Linked DNA regions of Drosophila melanogaster. The protein of the gene in region 2 interacts with the protein of the main gene of each other region in a biochemical or structural test. Each region holds a gene or a part of one and is shown on either strand. Other genes may lie near its edges. The genes, in order: mats and hppy.

Region 1 (11,456 bases), on a different chromosome or scaffold from region 2:
ACCCACCATCACTAAGCTGAATGTTTTGGAAACAGAGCCGCCGGCTACTCAGCTGCCCACCCAGTTCCCGCCCACAGGCGGCAGCACCTCCACCACACAGATCAGTACGAGCACCAGTGCCGGCGGTGGTTTCTCCACCACTCCCGCCTTCCTGGCCAGCTCTACGAGCAATTATGTGAAGGTATGCTGCTCAAAACTAAATCGCTATTTTTTATTGACTAGCAAATACCTTTCGATTGATATTTAATAATAATAATTCTTCATTAATGTCAAATGATAATTATTTTAGCAGGAGCCCCTGAACAATCTGCCTGAGCCGCCCAGTGTGAATAACTATCTGATCGAGCGACAGCGAGCTCTGGAGCAGCAGATCTACCAGTTGAAAGTGCAGGCACAACAGCAGCAGGCTCTGATCCTGCGTCAACTGAAGCTGTTAGAGGAGCAGACCCAAAGCCGTTTCCAGGGCTCACCGATTGCCCAACCCAGCACATTGCAGCCACAGCAGCAACAACAGCAGCAGCAACTGCCGCAAGTACAGCAGCAACTGCCGCAAGTACAGCAGCAACATGGTCCGCTGGAGGCCATTCAGACGGGTCTGCAACCGCCCACTTTGGGCGCGGGTTACTCCATAAGACCTTCGGTCGAATTTATACCCAGCACACATACCAAGACTGTTATTTATCCCACATATCCAATTGAGCAGCAATTGCCGCTGCGCGATGCCGTTTCGGGTCATAAATTCGCCCTGCACAATGGCAACATAAACGCGAATAACTATCAGAAGCCGCCAGCGAATGCAGTGCAGCAGATTTTCCAAAATTTGCAGCAATCTCTACAGAAATCGAACGAAAGCCCCCAGGTTCAGCCCTCCAATCAGTTCAACTTTGCACCGGCCGAGGCGTCGCAACTACAGGCCTTGCCCCATAACAATTACAAGCCATTTCAACAGCAGCAGCAGCAACAGTTGCTGCTGCCCAACTACGTCAGCAATGCGGTGTTCCAGCAGCAGCAGCAACAACATCAGCAACAGCAGCAGCAAAGGGCGCGGCAATTCCGCCAGGAGACGGGAGTAGGTAACTTCGGTTTGAATTCCAATGTGGAGATTCAGCCGAGCAACTCCTTCGCCACCACGATTGTTAGCCAGCAGCCTGGCCTCAATTCCAATCCCAGTCTGGAGAACCAGAACTTCTACAGGCAGCACTTGACGCCACAGTTGAGCAACCAGTTGCAGCAAAACGCGCAGCAATATCTGCAGCAGCAGCAGCAGCAGCAGCAACAGTTGCAGCAGCCAAAAGCCAGCGGCGACATTAGTCCAGGTAATGCACACTATAAGAGCAGACCGAGTGGCCCCAGTGGCAATCATCTTAGTCAATTTAGCAGCTTAAGAAATCTTGACGAATTGAAAGTAATCAGTAAAGTTTTAGCTCTCAACCATGGGATACCGCAGTTCGCCTCACAAAACCTGCACTTCAACGGGGCCTTTTGAGCACTTGCACCACCAAAAAGCACCACCAACCAGCACCACCATCCCGCTCCACAACCAGCACGAACTCCAAACACCTCCTGCTCCTCTGAGTCCTTTTTACCCAGAAACAAGTATCTACCGCCCTACACGTTGACTTAAGTTTTGCGTACAACATCTTTGTAAATATACAATCTATTTTAAAGCGTAAGCATCGACCTAAGAAAAACATATAAAAATGAGCAGGATGAGTAATGCGGAGGATATGAGAATTATGGTAAAGCAATGTGTTGAAATGTAACAATTATTTATTTTCTATGTGAATAAAGTTTATCTTAAAGTACAACAGCAGCTTGTTTTTAGATATATTTTCATAATGATAACATAAAAATAAAGATTTCTGATGAACCACTTACCATCATGGTACTTATCTTTTGGGTTATAATTTTTGAAAACTACGAAGTATTACGACCAGAAAACCGGTACAGTGTTTATGTTAACAGCGCATTAACAGAGTCTGTAAACGTATTCGAATTCTCCCATCCCTAACATGCGTGCATCGGCGTCAATCGAAATCGGCAAATTTAAAATACAATGTGACAAAGTCAGCTTTTCTCACCAATCAATTCGAATTAAATTAATCCAATTGAGCCAAAACGCAACAATTAAGCTTGCAACGGATCAGCACTTATGTAATTTTAGAATGCGATTTGCCTATGCGAAATGCCGACGAGACGAGCGATTAAAAAAAACGCTGAGTACGCGTAAAAGCTTGAAAAGCTTATTTCATTTGGCGAGTGAATGTCGCAATTTGTTTATAAACAATTGCTTTAGTTCGCCGACAGTCGTTACCGCCAAAGGAGCGCCATGTGGTCGCGCAGCAGCAGTTCCAAAAGACAAGTGGCCACCACCGATGGTGACCCCGAAAGGGTTTTGGCGCAGGTCCAGGATCTCAGCGACTGGCTCGTCGCCAATCCGCAGATCAACGGATGCAACACCTTCGAGAACCTGCACTTCTTCCTCCGCACCTCCAAGTTCGATGTGGAACGGGCCAAAAAGAAACTGAAAACGTTCTACCAAATGCGGGCGGAGCGCACCGAATGGTTCGATAATCGCGATCCCCAATTGCCCGAGATCCAGGACCTACTCAAGCTGGGCGTCTTCCTACCCATCGGTCCGGATGCCGAACAAAGGATGGTGGTGGTCATACGCACAGCAGCACACGATCCCAAGCTCCACAGCCAGAACAATGTTTTTAAAGTGAGTCATGGAAATATGTACACAGGAAAAAATAAAATACAACGATTTTATGAAATGTCTTAAACTATATGTAGCTAACAAATTAAACATAGTCATGAAGGCGAACTTTTCGTGCTTTAATAAAAAATAACTTAACATTTTAATAATATGAAATACGATAAGTTTCGTCCACATTTTTTCCTCCATATACTTATATCTCCAACCTTTGTTTCCCAGACCAGCAAAATGATATTGGACCTGCTGCTAAAGCTCGATCCGGAGACCTGTGCCCGCGGAATGGTGGCTATTCTGGATATGCAGGGCGTTCAACTGGGGCACGCTCTTCAAATGAATCCGAAGCTCATCAAGAGATCCGTGGAAAGCTGGACCGCATATCCATGTCAGCCCAAGCTATTGGAATTCACCAACGCCCCGCGCCATGTGAACTTCTTTTTGAACACCTTTAGGTGGGTTGTATGTTCTAAGTCAAATTAGAATTTACTATATATTATCATTTTTTTTAGAATATTCATGACGCCCAAGATAAGATCGCGACTTTTCGTGCGTCGTGAAGGAACATCCGTGAGCTGCGATCAGTTGCCAAAGGAACTCGGTGGTCAGGGATTAAGCTATATGGAGCTGTCTGTGAAGTGGAAGCAGTTGGTCGAGGAGAACGCCGATTTCTATGTGGAACAAGACAAATACAAAAGCAAGCTCAAGTGATTGGGGTTAGTGTGGCGGCAGTGATAACAAGGCGATTAGCCGAATGTTATAGATTAGTCGAAAACATTTACAATGCGCAAATGCACAAAGGCGCATATCAGTTGTCATATTTTATGGAAGGGTACTACAAATACTCCCTAATTCCCCACTTAACCATATTTGTATATATTATAAGTCATTACGTTAAACCTTTTTAAAAAAGGTTATTTTCGTTGTGTTAATCATCAATGTTATCTTTTTTTTTTTGCTTAATAAAGTGTCAATACACGATAAACCAAACAAAAAAGAGACGAGTTTATTCATAATATTCTCTTTATTAGTATAAAACGTATCAAAAATGTTTATCAAGTCTACAATTATTATCAGTTATTGGGTGCTGCCGACCGTCGCCTCAAATTGCTGGGGTTTGCATTACAAAATCGCTTGATCCGCTGAACCGCGAGCAATTAGCGATAGTTTAATAGTAATAAATACATAGAATACATACAGAAAGAAAAACGATAAACAAGGAAACACGCATAGTTTGTGAACGTAATATTTGTTGTTTCTCGAAAGCGGGAGGTGTTAGTTATAAAAGGCGTGCTGTTGCTTTTGCTGCTTTTGTTTTCTCCTTTACATATACATATAAATATGATTTATACGTTTTTACGTTTCACATATAAAAATATAGTAGTTGCTCTGGATCAGCAATTAGCCCGCTATAGTTCGGTTCACATTGCCAATTGGCGGTTTTTTGTTTTCTTTTGTTTAGTGGGAGGCACCCCATGAAGCAATGAACGAAACATAAAAGTATTGGCGGTAACTAACTAAAGCGTAATACACGAGTCTGCCAGAGCGCTTTCATCACAAGTCCAACTGCAAGCGCAGACCACCACCACCGCCGCCGGAATCGCGAAAATTCGCGGCTCCATGCAGTGATTCCTATATCTGCCGCTCATCCTTAGCCGTCAGCTTGTCGATGAGCTCCTGCAGCGGGGCCAGTTCGCGCCGCTCAATCAGATTGAACTCCTGCACGAAGAAGATGAAGTGCTTGAAGGACGTGTTGAGATGGGCCTCCTCGCCAAGCGTCACCACCTCTGTGAAGTGCTGGTGGTAGATGTGCGCATACACGCGGAACAGACGCTTCAGTATGGTCTTGGCGGAGGAGTGAAAGTTCTTTGGAAACGGCACGCCGATCTTGGAGGGAAACAGGGTCTCGTCGTCCAGCTGATCCTGCACCCAAGTCATCAGATAGTCAATATACTTGGGCGCGCTGCACTTGATGGGCTTCTTTACGGTCAAACCGTCGGCCCAGTGGTACTCGTATTTCGGACCAGCCGACATGATGCCACAGGTCTCCTCGGTGCAGAACTCGGTGATGGTGCCGTACAGCATGTTGATCTGGTTGAAAAAGTCCACGGCTGCGAAGGAGTGGCAATAAGAATTGGTTATCTTTCGCTAGTTACACTATACTAGACTCACTGTTAACGGCCACCCACTCGTTGAGATCCTCGCCATCTGGAAGGGCCACTGCATTGCGCAGGTTTCCCGATCCCAGCGTGGCTGCCGCATGCTTCATGAGATCATATTGGTGTGTGCCTTCCGGGATGTTCTTCTTGGGCTTGAAGGTCTTGCTGGAACGGGAACCGCTGTGGAAAGAGAAAGGCAATAAGTCGCGGCCCCAAACAGCCCCACTCAGTAAAACATAATACAGTAAAGATTCTATAGATTGAAACGTAAGCGACTTCGTTCAATTTACACTCCCTAAAAGAAATATTTCCTTTTTTTTTCTTTTTTTAAATTCACTGAGGAAGAATGCAAGATATCTTTGAAAAGCTATTTTTTAAACACCGCAGACAAAATTAGGGAAGTTCCACTGTACAAGAGGTTGGGGATATCACCCCAAAAAGGGCAAACAAAGCCGGAAAGTCAGATGTGGGGCGGGGTGATCCAAGCTTTCTTTGTGCTCGAAAGGATTGCAGTTGCACTACGTTTTGCCCCCCTGAGAACTTACAACAAGAAGTCCATGGCATGCAATTGCTGTGCTTCGCCTTTCACTGAGCCTCCAATGGAATTTTCCTATGCGTAGACTTTTCCGGCGAGTGCCACACCGCTTTTTCGGCTCTTCTGTGTCGTGTCAGCAGCTTTATTCCGCCGATTTTTACACAATTAGCGCCGAATAATAATTAAAGAAAAGTGACTGGAATTCGCAGCAGGTTTCTTTCTCTGGTCAATTGGGAAATGACAATGATGGTATCTGTATCTGGCCTCCAGTTGGTCGGTCTGTTAACTAGTGCCGTAGCCCAACAGCTGATGCGAGCGGTTCCAGGAAGTGTGCCGAGCCAACTAGTTAATTCTGTTGTGTTTATAAACGCAAAAAATTTGTTATAAATAAAAATAAAATTGCTTTCACACACAGAGACAGTTGATGAAAGTGCGAGAGGGACAACGCGACAGGTTATCAGGCTATCAACGTGGCCAGCCTGTTAAAATAATTCAGTACGGTACTGCGGTATTTTATCTGGTATGTCCCTAACATTTCGCAATCGGCTTGCTATGGTCACACTTGAAGTAAGCACGTGGGAAAACAACTGTAGCAGCATCGTGGGTGTATAAAAATATATATTTCTTAATTAAATCGGCATATATTCGGCATAGACATGGTAAATATTTCAGTGCAATAATCATATATTTGAATTTTCTGCGGGTTGCCCGTGAAATGAAAATGTTTTCCCTGCGAAAACTAACCTACACACGCGGAGCACCCAAAACCACATGTGTCTGCCACCGCATCAGACTGATAATTTTTCATTTCCCCGCCTCCAGTCGAACCTGTATGTGCTGTACGAGCATGCGGCGGGCTTCTCGCTCTTCTCCGTCAAGGAGTTCGAAGAGGTGTCCATGTTCCTGCCCCAGGTGGAGTCCTCGGTGACGGACCTCGCCAAGTTCAACTCAATTGTTAAGCTGGCTGGATTTGCACCTTTCAAGACGGCCATTGCCGCACTGGAAAACATCAATGCCATATCCGAGGGCATAGTGCCGCAGGATCTGCTCTCCTTCTTGGATGACTTCTTTGCCAAGCTGAAGAAGAAGAAGTGCACCCTGGGTATTGCGGATGCCAAGCTGGGAGCTGCAATCACCGAGGCCATTGGCGTCCAGTGCAGTCACTTTGGAGTGGTTCCTGAGATTCTGCGCGGCGTGCGATTCCACTTCGCTAAGCTGGTCAAGGGTAAGCTACCTGCTTTGCAAGGAAAATCCTCTTTGTCTAACTAAAGCCTCCTCCATCCGATGCAGGATTCACCGACAAGTCCGCTGGCGTTGCTCAGCTGGGTCTGGGCCACAGCTACTCGCGTGCCAAGGTCAAGTTCAATGTTCATCGTTCCGACAACATGATCATCCAGTCGATTGCTTTGCTGGATCAGTTGGATAAGGACGTAAATACCTTCTCTATGCGGATACGCGAGTGGTACTCGTATCACTTCCCAGAACTGGTCAAAATCGTTCCCGACAATTACATGTTCGCCAAGGCGGCCAAGTTCATCAAGGATCGCAAGAACCTCACGCAAGACCAGCTGGAGGATCTTGAGAAGATCGTCATGGACTCCGCCAAGGCTCAGGCTATCATTGATGCCGCCAAGATGTCCATGGGCATGGACATCTCCATTGTTGATCTGATGAACATTGAGCTGTTCGCAGAGCGCGTTGTCAAGCTTTCCGAGTACCGAAAGAAACTGTCTACCTACTTGCACAACAAGATGAACTTGGTGGCACCCAATCTGCAGTCTTTGATTGGCGACCAGGTCGGTGCCCGCCTGATATCGCATGCCGGCAGCTTGACTAATCTGGCCAAGTACCCAGCATCTACAGTACAAATCCTGGGTGCCGAGAAGGCGCTCTTCCGTGCTCTAAAGACCCGCTCCAATACGCCCAAGTATGGTCTTATCTATCACTCCTCGTTCATTGGTCGAGCTGGCCTGAAGAACAAGGGTCGCATCTCTCGATTCCTGGCCAACAAGTGCTCCATCGCGTCGCGTATCGATTGCTTCCTGGAACAGCCGACTAGCGTGTTTGGCGAAACTCTTAAGCAACAGGTCGAAGATCGCCTCAAGTTCTACGAGTCCGGCGATGTGCCGCGCAAGAACATTGAGGTAATGAAGGAGGCCATCGAGGCAGCTGGTCAAGAGGCGGCAATCACTGTACAGTCCGAGAAAAAGAAGAAAAAGAAGAAGCGAGCGGCTGAAGACGAGGGCGAGACGAATGGCGCCAGTAATGGAAACGGAGCAGCCGCCGAGGCGGAAAATGGCAATGGCAACGATGATGGAGAGCCAAAGAAGAAGAAGAAAAAGAAGAACAAAAACAAGGAAGCGGTGGAGGCGTAAATGTCTCTGTTACATTCAACTTAGTTTAAGTCCACACTATTATCTTTTACTTACATGCTTCTTTTGTATTTCCTTTGACCCCCTGATGGATCGCATTTCAAATAATAATAAACATATACTTTGGAGGGTATTCCCACCGGAATTTTATGAGTTTGCGTTTTAAATCAAGAGACTATCATAATTATTGGTTTCAATTGTTTTATATTTCATATTTGCTTTACATTCAATTTATATACAGACACATCGTAACGTTAACTATTGCTAAAATTGTTTGATTTTATTACGTGTAGTATTTTGTTTAACAATTTCAATGTTGGATCGCTCAGCCGTCCGTCCGCGCGTTGTGCTAACGAATCCGTTTAGTACAACCATTATTCAACTACTCTGTGTATTGCATTTGATGACGACTTTCAAATTCCGAGTGGACGATCAGGACGGATGTGGAATTAATGGGTTTGATCCGGAAAATTGCATCGGGGGTAAATTGTTTAACAACGAATTTAGAAACAAATTGCACGTGTCGCAAACTTTGTACAGCAAGGGGAAAGGAAAACGTAAATAATATATAGAACTGACAAGTTTAGCGATCGTGGAAATGTGAATGTGAGAGTGGACATTTTGGGTAGTAGGTTGGTTGGGTTAAATTAGGCTAAAAAATATCATTGAAACAAGTCGAATGCCGACGAGCTATTATTGTTATTATTGCTGTGATTCTGCTGCTGCTGCTGGAAAGCTCCAAAGTTGGCAAATGCTGATTGGTTTTGTGGAATGCTTTGCTGCGGTGCCGGAGCCCCAAAAATGTTCGGACTGGTCATTGGCGACAGTCCAGGGAATCCGCCACCCGTCTGCACATTCAGTGGCGCCTTTGCCGGACTGTTGGTCTTCAGGGCATTCATCGAAGGGGCCGGGGCACTGGGCTTGCCCGACTTGCTCATCAGCAGATTGTCCAGGTCAATGTTCATCTTGCCGCCCTTCAGGTCGCCCGACCAGGTGGCGCCCACAGCGGTAGACTGGACACTGGCAGCGGCGGGGACTGCGCCTCCGTTGGTATTATTGTTATTATTGGTCACCGACATGGGCTGGAGCAGATTATTGCCCGTGACGGCGGGAATGGGAGGCATCATATTGTCTGGAAAAAAACAAATGCAATAATAATGTTATTCGGGGTTTCAGTTTTCGTTTTTATTTTGGTTTCACAAAAAGCTGTTTTAAATATGTGGCTTCGATAGAATTGCGAATGCGGCTACTTGGTGATCGGCTAATGAGGTGGTCACTACTCGGAAGCGTTTGCGCAGCAAATCAAGTGCAATTACAGAAGGAAAGAATAGGTTCGTATCTGTTATGTGGCTATTGCCGTTTTGGATTGGTTTACCTAATGAGTCCGTGGCTGCGGAGGCCGCACAATGCCCGGAATATTGAGAAATGCTTTTCAATTCATCATTATTAAGTACATATGTATGTATATATTTGAGAAATAATATTGGATCCAATGTGTGTGTGGTTTGCAATACAAATATGCAGTAGGAGAAAAACAAATAAACAAAAGAAAGTAGTATAAATGAAGTAAATCCATATATGTATACCTGGAATACAATGGCTTCGAGGGCGATAGATATTTAAAAAATAATTCCTAGAACTGTTGTCTTATTTCTAGCAAATACCTAACTCTCGAGTCTATTATTAGTTTATACAATTATAAGAAAATGTTTAAGGACACAGCGTTAACGTTTGTATGAGAATTGATGTAAAGTATGAAGTAATCTTGTATTTAATCATATATATCATATATTAATTCGGAAATATTTCAGTAAAAAATTGTTCGTTTTTCCGTAACAAGAAATATGCTTAGTGTATTTTAAATACAGTTTTAATATTTTAAATCTCTTAAAACTCTATAGGCTGCTTTCAAAACTTTTTGATGGCCAAGTTAGGCAGCCTGTTCCATGGCGGCTGTATCAAAGAGTTTGTAGCAGGTGTCCAAAATGCTTTGGGCCAGTTCACGACACTCCTCCGAAGTCTCTCCGCCCACCAATGGCGATCTTATGAAGTCATTCAGCCAGCGCTGCAGTTCGTTCAATGACTCCGCAAAGTGCTGGGCCAGCACATGAGCTGGTGTGGTTACCAAGGCGATTCCTATTAGCTGCAATGTGGCCGCTCGGACGCGGGCCTCGGCATTGAAACGCACAAAGGCGCATAGGTCAAAGATCTCGCGGGTCATCGCTGGCAACAGTGGACAGTTCTGGGAGCACATAACCAACACGGACATGGTGTTTAGCAGGTTAACAAGCAACTGGGTGTCGATGTCGTGAGAAATATTTTCGTATTTTACGTAAAGCATCTGACGGGTGCGCTGTCCCCTCACCAAACTGAAGAAAAATGTACCGGCAACGGGGTGAAATGGGTTGGCCTTCTCCATTTGATCTCCAGCTTTGGGCTTGCTGAAATATCTCTTCGTCTTGGCCCGCAGCCGGTCGCGGATGATCCTTTGCGCAGCGGCCAGACGAGCGGCCGGACTCTCCTCCTCCTGTTGAAATTCGAACTTTCGGGGATGCTTGGCTGCCGGTGGTATAACATCCACAATTTCCATCTCATTCTGCATGTTTTCATCGCCAGAAAGTTCTTTCGCCGTTGCTGCCAGTACCTGAAGGATCAGAATACGGACACTGGCCGAATAGAAGGAGTTATCCGTGTGGAACTGGCGGCATAGGTACTCGGCACAGGGACCAGGATGAGCCACACAAATGGCCACGCAACACTTAAATTGCGTACGTTCGAATTGCTCATAGTAGAACTGCATTTCCATGACCAAGAAAAGTTGTAGCAGATCCAAGGCCAACTGAGTATCATGTTTGGCCAGCTGACCCCGTATAAGTTGCTCCGCTGTGCCCAAGGCTCCTTCGAACACCTGATAATTCTCCACCTTTTCTCGGAGCAAGTGCAGTAAGTCGATGACGAATTTGGGACGTTGATCAATGGTGGTGGTTGTATCGTTGGACATGTCATAGGGTTTCAATTCATCGTCGTCTTCATCCAGTGGCTCGTCGTCATCCGAGTCCAGCTGCATGTTTACATTCTGATTTTCGGGAGCGGGATTCGCTTGTATTTCAATATTCGGCTTATGCGGCTCTTTCTGCTCTGTAGTACTCATAAAGTCACTGAGATGAAGTTCTAATTGTTTCAGCTGATCCTCACAAGGCTTCTCATCTAGCTTAGTTTTGCTCGGGCTTTCAAACTGGCCAAGTTCATCAAACTCTTCGAAGATGTGCCAATGAAATGTATCCTTAAATGAATCGTACTCAAATCGTAGACGATCATCCTCCTTCGCATCAGGCAAGGCAATAAAATTGAAAATTAGCTCCACGGTCTTCATTCCCACATGACGCTGCAGTGCATCTGGGGACTGCAAATGGTTGCTGAGTCCATCGTGGAGCTGACGCTGGATGTTCAAATCCATTACAAGATTCCCACAAAGGCATTTTGCCGCCAACACAAGCAATTTGGATATAGCCAAGTGCTCTTGGCTGCCCAGTTTCTGCAAGGAAATGCGCTTCGACCAGATTCCAAGCAACTGATTCAAAAGAACCTGCAGTTGAGCAGGAGCTACGGCGTTAAGATAACTGGCCAATGTTATAAGCTGCTTATTATCCACGGGTGTGCGTTGAAGAGGCAACTTC
Region 2 (11,456 bases):
ATCCACCTACACACCTACAAAACAGTCCAATTGAAAATGGAAATCGTAATCACAAGTGGGCAGCTTTGTTATTAGATGGTGTGCCACAATATGAAATGGGTAGTATAGAAAATAAAAACGGTTTTAAACTGATTTAATCGCTTATGCAATGCGTCACTTGTTGGAAAAACAAAAAACTATTTAGATAACGGTCTCTTTTAACATGACATAAGTCAACGATTTATAGAAACCCTCTGACAATTGAGTTATGTACTCAATAAATTGTTCCTAAATTGTTCCTGCTGCATAAAGTTCAACAAAAATGGTTTTAAAATGAATTGATTTATAACTATTAGAATAGAAATGACTTTAAATTCTTTTACTACAGCATCAGTAAACAAGCTTTATCTACGCCCAAGTGCCATTTTTATTATGTGGATTTTATTAATCGTCCATCTAAACTATCATTAAGAATTCATATTGCACTATAATGATGCTAATAATACCCCCAATTTGTGGCTCCATTTGTTCTCGGTGTGGTAATCAATATCTGCTTATGTCCGCAAGTCAGTGAACAGGCTAATGAGCGAACATGGAATACATTCTGCTATAGTAACCGTAGTTAACTCGATTTCACTGGCCAACATCAGCCAATTGTTGTTGCAATATTTGTTTTTGCTCAAGGGGCGGCGGGGCGGTGTAATAATAGGTGCGGAAGGGTTAAAGGGCGGGGGAGAGAGAGAGAGATACTGAGATAGAATGCAGCCGCAAGCCTACAAAGCATTGCATTGCATTGGAACTGCCCTTCTAAATACCCCCAGCGTTACTCATTTTTCACCCACATTTCCCAGCAGCGCTGCCCGCTTTTCCGCTTATCCCCCCATATTCCTTGTTCTCCCTTTCCCCCTTCCAACCCCCCGGCAGTCCGTAGAAGACGTGCAAATTATTGCCACGGCGGAATTGGGTCAACATGGCGACCCTTTGCACCGCCTGACTTTCCCCACTCCGCAGCTGCCCACGCTAACAACCCAATCGTCACTTGTTTTGTTATGGCGCTTTGTTGTTGCTAAATTAAGGGTTGCCATTGCCACCCAACTTTGTCTACATCCCCACACTGAAAGAAAAAATCTTCACAATTGGAAAAAACAAACTTTAAAAGTTCACAAAAGTTCCAAGTTATTTACTGAGAAAGTACCTATTTAAATATGGACGAAAACTAAAATATTCCCATCTTAATTTAATTGATTTGTAGGATCAAAATTATTTCTTCGGTGTAGATTTGTTTTCCCTGTTCTAGGAAAAGTTCTGCGTTCTATGCGTTTCGCCATTTAACATTTAAATGCGGCGAAGGCGTTGAAAGTGCGTCTCCCTGCTGGTTTGCTGGCTTGCCTGTTTGCCTTCCGCCCATTTCGCGGCGTGGGCGTGTCAAGATCCATTTGCATATTACCCCCACCAGGAGCCACCAGAATCCATAGGATCTCTAGGCTTTTGCTTTGGCTATATAGCTGCAGTCGATGCGAATCGCGGGAATAACCCTTTGACATTTTTCAATTTGCCTTGGCTGTTGTTTTCGTCTTTTGTTTTTACCCGTCGCCTAGTTCAAGGCAAACATTTTTCGGCTAGTCTTGGTTAAGGTTTCCTTTTGCCCTACACTTTTTCATCGCTTTCTTGCTATTTCCTTCTCACTTTTTGCTTTGTTGTCTGGGCCGACAAAGTTGTTGGGCTTTTAGCGCAAATCATTTGGCTGTGAAGTTTGGTTTTTGCGTAGGACAGAATTTTGGAAATTCAGAGAGTCCTCGTAGAAACAATGACAACATTTTCGGCAAACAAAAGGAGCGGGGGGAGGGGGGCCGGCGTCATGGAACTGAGCTTTATGTTTAGCAGCAGAGCCAACTGCAATTGCAATTGCAATTTGTGTGAAAACCGAAACCAAACAAGCAGCAAATCAGCAAACATAAACACATACTGTCAGACAGACAAAACGCATTGAGCCACGCCCACTACCAACACACACACACACACACACACATGCGTTGCCTACGTGACCTCCTTAAGCGCCCACCGCCTCCCGTCCCTAGCCACACCCCCTTGCCTTGCCATCACTTTGCTGCTACAAATTCACTTCACTTCGTTCTTTTCTCTAGTAATTTTCTCAAAACCTTCCTACATCCCTCCTCCAACCTAAAAAATAAAAAAAAAACACAACCACCACCCACTCTAGATGAGAGCTTTGCGCCAATTTTTTCATGTTTTCATGCGTGTTGCGTGCACAACAATAACAACAACAGGGCAAAAACAAAATAAAGAGCCAGCAGCAACAACAATGACGAGGATGATTGTTAAAGTGTGGCAACAACAACTACAATGGATGGCGAAGTCAAGTGCCTGGCAAAGGCAATCACACACACACACAAACGAAAGCACACGCATAAAATATGTATGCGCCTATGCACTAGTATTTGTGCCAGTTTTCATTGCATAACGCTAGGTAACCTGGCACTTTTCCTTTTGTGCTCCGTGAAAAGCACAGAGTTCACTATTTTCATATTTCTGTTATTTTCTTTTACCCACTTGCGTTTCGCTCTCGAATTTCCGGTAATGAAAACCCGGTGCAACAGCAGCACCTTCCTCTTGAGTCAAAGTTTTTCCCGTCTTGAGTTTTCCCACCCGCCATGTCAGGTGCCATTTATACTCCAAGTTTTTCTCCAGAGGAATACTCGTACAAATTAAAAACATTGCAATAACTTTTTATATAGTGCATATATAAACATGCATAAAATAACTAGAAGTTAAAATAAATATTTTTTAAGAATATTGAATAAGGGTGAAATATGGAAAAAAAAAGAGCACAGTTAAATAAACTCGAAACAAGCACGTAATATTAAACTGAGTCACTAGTCAAAAAATTATACTTTAGTCTTTAAATCTCACTGAAAATATAAATATGTACATTTCATTTATCATCTGCATTCGTTAAATTGAACATCTAAATTTGCATGTCAACAGTCCAGCAAGACTGAATCACATAAATTTTTAAAGCTCCACCCATTTTCTCCAGCTGAACATTTATTTGCGGCGTTGCACTAAATTTTTGGATCATTGTGCCACTAATAAGAATCAATGAGTGTGTTGTGGGGTTAGAAGGGGGTGTGGCATATGGGAGGAGGTGGAGCAAACAAATTGGAGCAGTAGAAACCCAATTCCATTCGTAATAGCCTGTCAACAGGGCGCATTGTTGTTCATTTCGCTGTTATTATTTCTATTGTAAATTGATATCGCGAAACGAGTTGCGAAAAAAATGAGAGGAAAAGCGAGCTTTTCGATTGCCCTGCACTTCAAGTGCTCGATGTGTAATAATGGTTTAGCCAAAAACTTATGCGGAAAACCAAACTGCAAATTATCCCCAAAACCGATTGTTTTCATTTGGCGAACTTGTCGCTTGTGTAAACAGAATCGAAATGCCATCGTCTCCTTTCTAGATGTGTGGCATCATAAATTCCCTTGACAACCAAATACCTCGGTGTGAAAATAAATAAAAAAAAAACCGAAGTAAAAAGCAGGGGGAACGAAAGAGTGTAAATTGCATGGTGGATTGAAACCGAAACCATGGGCTTTGGACTCATGGCATGACGCATCTCATGGATGGAACATGGAGAAAAGATACAGAAAGCAGAACGGAACGGGCTCTAAAAAACAAAAACGAGACACAATCAGATGGCAAAATGAGTAGAGGGCCACAAAACCAGATGTGGGCAAACATAAATAAATAAATAAATAACACATTCGAAACTAATCCGAATAATCAATGCAAGCGCGTGGCTGCTTATCGAATAAATTGAAGTGAGGCAAAATGAATCAAGTCCCAATATCAGTCTGATGAGCAAGAATAAGCATAATCTCAACAGTCTTACGCTTTGATGACTAATAATGATTGCCTGAGTTTACAGAAAAACAAGACTTTAGTCAACATAAAACGTTATTAACAAAAGCCAACCAAAAAACTGCACATATTGTTTAAAACCTAAGCATTCAAATTAAGCGAGTCAAAAACCATTCAAATGTCGTGCAGAATTGTGGTGCACATTATAGACATATTGATTTCATTGTGCGCTGTCAAACCAAGTTATCAATATGCCAAAGCAAATTAATTAACAATTCTCTCATTTTCTACAAATTAAAATCTATAAATTACGATATACTTAATATCGAATTTCAAAAGTGCACAAACTAATTGAATTCCCATCTTTTATGAGCAATGTGAAATTTAATCAATTTCAATTTCGTCAAAATTAATCGAATGGAAAACGTTCGAAAAGCTGATGATTTATAGATTTTGGGTTGCCAACTAGAATGCAATAAATCGAATTGGGGAAATCCCTCGAATTCAAAGGCATTCCATATGGAAAATGAGGAACTTAACCCTTGGTCTGCACATGAGAAATACCATAATATCTCCCCCGATATATTCCCATATAATCCCGCCCCTGGCAACAACAATTGCAACGTGCCACGCCCCCCCGCCCAAGGGCAACTTCTCTGGCGTTTCGGGGCATTTGTCATACTTCCCTTCGACGGGCAGCAAGAGTAAACATGGAAGTTGGATGGTATAAAAAGAACGATCCAACAGAGAAGAAGATGGAAAACTAAAATTGCGCATATTTTTGTTTGTGGCGGGGCGAGGGGTTTGGGGGAAGGGGGTGCTGAAAGGGATGTGGAGTGAAGGGGGGGTGGGGGTAGTGAAGGAATGAGAAACATGCTGTGGCAAACAGATGTACAAATGAGGGTCTGCAAGTGGGTGGCGGTGGGGAGATCGAGGGGGTACATGCACTCTTGCACTGGAGCAAAAAAACATTCCTCCTTTATGATTTAATGCGTTCTACATTTTAACGCACATACAATTTTATTATTTATGTGGCGTGGTGAGCAATAATGATACTCCACATTGAGATATGTAACTAAATTCATTTTCTATAAATGCATAACGGACTAGAACTAGTTTTACCATATGGAACACATTCAACTTTAAAATTTATTCTTGATTATGTGTCCAAAAATTATCCAATAAGAACATTATTCCTAGGTTTTGCAATCCAATGAGGCAATAGTGTTACATAATGTGTGATGTCTCTTTATTGAACAGAAAACTTCCTGATACAATTCAAAGTGAATTAATCGAATTTGAGAACTGTTGGATAATTTTTTCCTGTGCAGACGGAATGCAAAAATTGCAGTGAGGGAAACTATAAAAACTTACGGATTTTTGGGGAAACATTCTAAATCCAAAGAGCACACTTTGCAATTTCTTTGCCTTTTGTTTGCTGTTGTTTTTATTTAGAAGTTTTTGCCTTTCCCTTCCTAATACCACTTTGTACTACAGCTAAAGGCTTCTATTTCGACTCACCTTATAGACGTCGCCGTAGGTTCCCGAGCCAATCTTTTGGATGAGTTCGTACTCGTCCTGCGGATTTCGGCGAGAGATGTCCGAGCTGAGCATATTGGCATTGTGGTGACTGTGGGCGGCGGCCATCTTGGCAGCTTCCGTATCCGTATGCCGTTGCCGTTTCCGCTTCCGCTTCCGCTTTCGGTTCGAGGCGATCGAGTCCTTTTGGCTGGACCTCTCTTTACTGGGTGGGTATACTCTTAATATTTGATTGACACTCTTACTCTTGACGCTGCTTTATTCGTTTTTTGGGTTTGACTGATTAGCACACGTAGCAGGCGAAATTTAGATACTTTTGTGGATCGAGATGCATTTTGGACGCTTTGAAATACACACAATTACGTAAGGTTAACTGGACTTTTGTATATTATGTATTAAACATATACATTTATTTCATATGAATCAGATTCTGATCAGAGAATTGAATTGATACACACACGAAACTAGAGAATCGCGAATTATGACGCAGAATAAAAAAAAAAGCGATGAAAACAAAAATCAGCAAATAAAGCAGCAACAACAAATTTGATAAAGGCCAGGGTGGAGAAGAAGGTGGAGAAAGCGCGGGGGTGGGAGCGAGAGGGCAAGTGAACGATGTCTCGTTTTTTGTAATCCCCTCTCTCGTTCGCGCTCTCTCTCTTCCACTGCATATATTCTTTATCTTCTCGTCTCCTCTTCCTTGCTTCTCAATGCATTTGCACTTTAATTACTTTTTATTAGAATTTATGAAGGCCACTTTTGTTTTTGCCAGCGAAATTGCCTAAATAAATAAATAGTTGCTGTGCTGCCGAGTAAAAAAACACGCGACAACAAAAACAACAACGCGAGGCGTGTCGCTTTGTCGCCCGTTCGTGGTGTTGTTGTTGCTGGTGTAAATACTACGTTTATTATTTTTTTTTTATAATTTTATTCCGATTTTCGCTAAGCGCTAGGTGAGCACCACAAACCGTTCACATATTACACCGACACGTGATTGCGGGGCAAATTCGGCCAGTGGATAATTAACAATTGTCCTACGAACACGAAAAATTTCACATGCACTTCGTCAACGCGCAGCCCACAAATGTTGTTGTTCCTCTCACCCCTCGCTAGCGATGGCACTCTGCCCGCGGGCCTATCGATAGCAGCGCTGGTCGTTCGGCGGTGGCAACTCTGTCGGGCTGTCGTTTCGAAGATATCGATATTAGTTGGCCAGAAGGGGTGGCCAGACAGGGGAAATTTTTAAACTGCTGAAGGACATTCGAAATTCAATAAAATGAATCATTGAATCCACATGAAAGTACATTTAGTAGCAGCGTTAAAGGAATACATTAGTTAAAGCTCTCAAATCTACTTCAATGTTTCTTTAGTTATTAATTAGAATGTCATACAAATGATTTGTCACTGTATTGCCAATCAGCAATGTTTTATAGGAACTTCCCCTTAATCTTTCCTACGTTACTAAGACCTAAATCAGCCACAAACTGGGAAAACTCCTTTGTGCAGACCGCCGTTCCCAACAACAACAATTGGATCCTAAACTCGAAACAAGTGAAATGTTTAATATCTACACGCAAACTACTGCCAACTGCTTTCCGAAAAATATCCGGTATTATTAGTGATCACAACTTTATTGATTCACCGAATTTGTTGTTTAATTTAAAAAAAAAACCCTAATTCACTTTTATTTTGTACAATTATTATTCGTGTTTGTAGAAAATACAAAATATCAAAGGGCTCGAGCACGTTGACACGGAGAAATGGGTTAAAAACGAATCCAAAGAACTTATTGCACATGTGTGTGTTCGCGTGAGTGTATAAATAAATAACGTAAAATGTATCGAGATGTTCCATAGCAGAAGAAGATGGTTAGCACAGCTCCTTCCTTCACTTCTATGTAACTAGGGTATTATTTCGATTAAGGTTTCTCGGCTTGGGGCTGTCTGGCTTGGATTCCAGGGTATTCCCCATATTCACAGCTTCCGTATGCTGCGATCTGCCGCCGCTGAATTGAGTTTAGTTCTGTGAAAATAAGAGAAAAACGAACGTTAGATATATCTAGACAAGTGCAATATCAATGGTTAACAATTGGAAAACAAGCTTCAAACAGTATTAGGCCGAATCTGAACGAATTAACTGAACAATCCTCAGAAGGAATTGCATTAGTATGGATCGCAGTGCGATCAAAACCGAACGAGAGTGTTAATTTAGTACACAACACAGTGGAGCAGAACGAGGAATTTCATGCGAATGCGTTGCCAGCTTACCCCGATTTTCCAGCTGCCAAAGGGTCAACTGGAAAATGCGCGAACCACACAAAACTGCAGCAGAACGGATCTAGAACCCTGGAGTTTTTTCTATTTTTTGTTTGGTCAAATCGAAGGAGGATTGTGTAGGTTCTTTTTTAACTATATATATGTATATATATGGCGTCAGAATGAACTCGCACATCGCTTGGATAGCACTTAAGAATGGTATTTAACTGGCTTTAAAGATGCTGTGCTGTGGCTGAGACCTTTCTACTCCTCACTGGCCATCCTGTGTCCGTGTGGGTGGTTTGGTTGTATTTCGTGTGAGGGATGCGATGAGAAAAAGAGCTCGAATTAGTGCCCAGAAGTTATATTACACATAATGAAACAGCGTGGCCAAGCGAGGTGACAGTGCGATTGGGTATGGGAGGATGCTAGCGGAAGCCGGAAAACGAAGCCGAATTTTCCATTTCTGACGCCAATTCAGTGGAGTGAGTAAATCAAAAATTGCTCTTGGTAAATATCAAACTGCATTTGGCGGATTCAAGTTGTTTACAAAAGAATAAGTATTCAGATAGTTGGATTGGTCACAAAATAAGGATTTAGTTAACTAGGTTTATATCTCTCTCTGTGAGTACCGGAAATGACGTTCTGTTTTATTTATTTTTTGTTTCATTGGGTGGGTGTGCGTATTCGTGTGTTGTGTTGTGTGTGTGTGTGGAAAGAGAAAAATAAAACGAAATCAATAAATTAGTATTGGGTATTGGTTAGGAGTTTGTAATTCCCTCAAATATCAAAATCGGGCAGAGAAAAGGATGAAAAGCTGACGGAGATTCAGGTACACTTACAGTTCCATGGAGAGCACCGTGGGATTGGGACATGCTTGTGGTGCCCGTATGTGGCACTGCTTGTGACTAATCAGCTGGCAGTCGCGACACTCGTAGCCCTGCTTTCCGGGCCTCCGCGGGATGGACTTCATACAGATGGAGCACTGCAGACCGCTTCTGGAATGTGAAAGGATTCGTTAATTATATTCAAAGCAACTAATGCTTACTACTTTAAACTTACCCGCTCAAATGCTTGGCGATGAAGGTGTGATCGTTGTAGATGTGCAGCTTGGTGCCCTTGCGACGCCAGCGCGGTCTCTGGGCGATGGCCAAAGGCACAATGAAGTGGCTAAAGATCATGCACATGAAGCAGTTCCATCAGAATCCATAAAATGCAAACACTCGATCGAAACTCACCGCTTTATGCCATTCTCGATGGTCTCCAGCACCAGGGTGGAGGCCTCGTGCACGTAGGTTTTATTGCTAGCCGAGGAAAAGCCTGAGATGGCCGAGGATTCTGAAATTGAGGAGCGACGTGAGTGGTCGGTGATGGAGTGACCAATGCCCATGCGTGGTCCTGCGTTTTATTAATTTTAGTGTGTGTTTGTTTTTGTTTTTTTTTTATGTGGCAAGTTGAGAGTGGCACACAAACCAAGCACCCGTTAGGACCCATCAAATCATATTTTGCACATATGAAAATAAACAAAAGAAAAGAATAGGAGAGGAGTATGAGAAATAATCACAACCAAAATCGAATCAGAGATTATAAAAAGAAAAATTCAAAAGCCAAATTCCAAAAATAAACCCAAATATTTACAAAAAATATTCCAAAAATATTCAACCGTGTTAAGTTTTTGTTGAAATAGGTGTTTCATGTGCGTGTATCGGAACCATGAAATACATACAGATTCGTGTTGTGGATCACAGTTCAGTTAGCAGTTGATGGGTATTGTGTTAAGGGAGAGAAGATAAAACAGACAACAGATGTAGATACAAGTACAGATACAGATTACCAAACAGTTAATTTACAAGCTTTGAATGGTACAATATCTTGGGGTACTTAAACTTTAAGGGAGAAAAGCAATTTACACTTAGTACTAAAGTTATTCATGAAATAAGATGTGATGTATGAAAAATAATGATTTTGTGATTTGAATCATGGCTTATAACTACTACTTATAAGGCTGAAGCCTGAATAATAAAGCGAAAGTCCCAATTACATATGAAAATGGACGCTTTTTAGAGAGCCAAAAATATGAACAACTTAAGATAGGTATTAGACATAAAAGATTTTGCAATGCACTAAGCAGTTAATAGTTGTTCTATATGAAGTGATATTCCTTCGCAGAGTTATTAGCAGAATGCAGGAGTTGTCCAAAAAAATTGTGCGTTAAGCCGGGCTCAAATAGTTAAAACGTGGACACTGGCGGAGGACTGTGACTGAGATGGTAATTACCAAGTGAATTGCTTTTGGACAGAGTGGCACGATCGACAGATAATGAACGGGAAGAATCACCATTGAGGGTTCCGGTGGCTGTTCGAGGGAATCCGGTGGCTGTTGTTGTATTCGAGTTGGTGGCTGATAGTGACTTATGACTGTTATTATTAGGTTGATCGGCCGAGAGGGTGCGTGTCTTGGAGCGGCTGAGCCGCTTCTTCAGGGTGCCAAAGAAATTACGTTTTTTGCTGCGCCCGCGATCATCGACCACGTCATGGCCCTCCAATAATCCGGATTGCTGAGCCAGCTGCTGGGCACCACCGTTTCGTGGCAGACTGTTATATCCGCCCGAACCGGCGCCATTCGAGTTACCATTGCCATTGAGGCTATAGTTGTTGTGGTAACTACTGCCATTGGGCGATGAGGCGGCATTGGGCTGGCCAAACTGCAAGTGATTCAACGGTTATTAATGCGGAATCTTCTCTAGCTTTCAACTCTAACTGCATGCCATGCCGGTGAACTTAGTGAACTCAGTGTACTTACCTCAGCGGTGCTTTCCTCGTTGACGGTGCCATTACCTGAATCGATGAGAGGCTCACCCAGCTGGCTGGACTTCTCCTCCTTGGCCAGCTCCAGCTCAAGTTCGGTTTGTGCCTCATTGGCGGCACGTTCGAATGCCTGAGCCACTGCCTGATCCAATTCCGTCGCCGTATCGGTCACCTCGATTTGGCCATCTCTATTCAACTCGACCTGATTGGTTCGAGGATTTGGTTAAAGAAGCGCATTTTTGGGGGGGTTAGGCAGAGCAAACAGAACGAGAAACATTTTGAAATTAGCTTGGCTTAAATACTAACTAGCCTACATGACTTGAACATCATCATGAGGGCGGGATTAGAGACGCAGTAACTCAGATAACTCAAAGGAACGATTGAAGTAATGATGACCAGGTCTGGGTGTTTACCTTAAATGCATTCGGGCTGCTTGAATTCTGGGCGGGATCAAGAGACGGAAATGAAATGAAATAAAGGTAAAGAAAAACAAAAGGAAATTATAAAAACCGTACAATGCGGAAAAGGAGGGCACGAAATGTATGAAACCTCTAACGAAAATTGGGTGTCACGGATGTTATTTTATTCTCGGAATCTTTGCCCGAAGAAATGTGTTTCCACAACAAGCGTGAACCCATTTTAGCCATACACACTCACCCGCTGCACACTGTGGATGATCAAAGTGCTCTTGCTGGGTTGTCCGCCACTTCCGCTGCTCGAGAGCGCTCCATCCTGCAGAGCTCTTACGGCTGCATCCGCTAGATCTGCTCCATTTCGGATGTGTTCGTTAATGGCCGGTGTGCTGAGACGCAGTGCCTCCTTGAGACGCTGTGGACGTGCGCCCGCCGGGATTTCGGCACCCTCAATGAACACAAAGTCCACGGTGATGGCTCCCGAAACGGGCTGCGTCTCATAGGGGCGTGGTTGCAGCTGCAACAGTTGAGTGGATGCGGGTCCAACGGCCAGCTCATCGATTCCAACCAGGCCGAGACCCAG

Evidence for each region.
Region 1: of the proteins of hppy (region 2) and mats, one has a biochemical effect on the other in vitro, tested with the Drosophila melanogaster proteins (one study listed by BioGRID).

The regions. Positions count from the first base shown.
Region 1 is NT_033777.3:22,415,564-22,427,019, reverse strand, and holds mats (mob as tumor suppressor), read right to left. Parts: upstream 5,860-11,456; 5' UTR 5,432-5,859; coding exon 5,418-5,431; intron 5,053-5,417; coding exon 4,886-5,052; intron 4,825-4,885; coding exon 4,346-4,824; 3' UTR 3,718-4,345; downstream 1-3,717. Other genes in the region: CG13847 (uncharacterized protein), read left to right, coding at 1-181, 290-1,316, 1,425-1,486; pinta (prolonged depolarization afterpotential (PDA) is not apparent), read left to right, coding at 2,330-2,722, 2,939-3,168, 3,226-3,424; Nop56, read left to right, coding at 6,064-6,066, 6,230-6,632, 6,698-7,782; lqfR (liquid facets-Related), read right to left, coding at 9,710-11,456. UniProt on the Drosophila melanogaster protein: Coactivator of Warts (Wts) kinase in the Hippo/SWH (Sav/Wts/Hpo)signaling pathway, a signaling pathway that plays a pivotal role in organ size control and tumor suppression by restricting proliferation and promoting apoptosis.
Region 2 is NT_033778.4:19,173,783-19,185,238, reverse strand, and holds the start of hppy (happyhour), read right to left. Parts: upstream 6,502-11,456; 5' UTR 6,367-6,501; intron 5,741-6,366; 5' UTR 5,507-5,740; coding exon 5,381-5,506; intron 1-5,380. Other genes in the region: CG10737 (uncharacterized protein), read right to left, coding at 8,250-8,298, 8,496-8,651, 8,716-8,823, 8,892-9,051, 9,931-10,357, 10,456-10,662, 10,874-10,900, 11,118-11,456.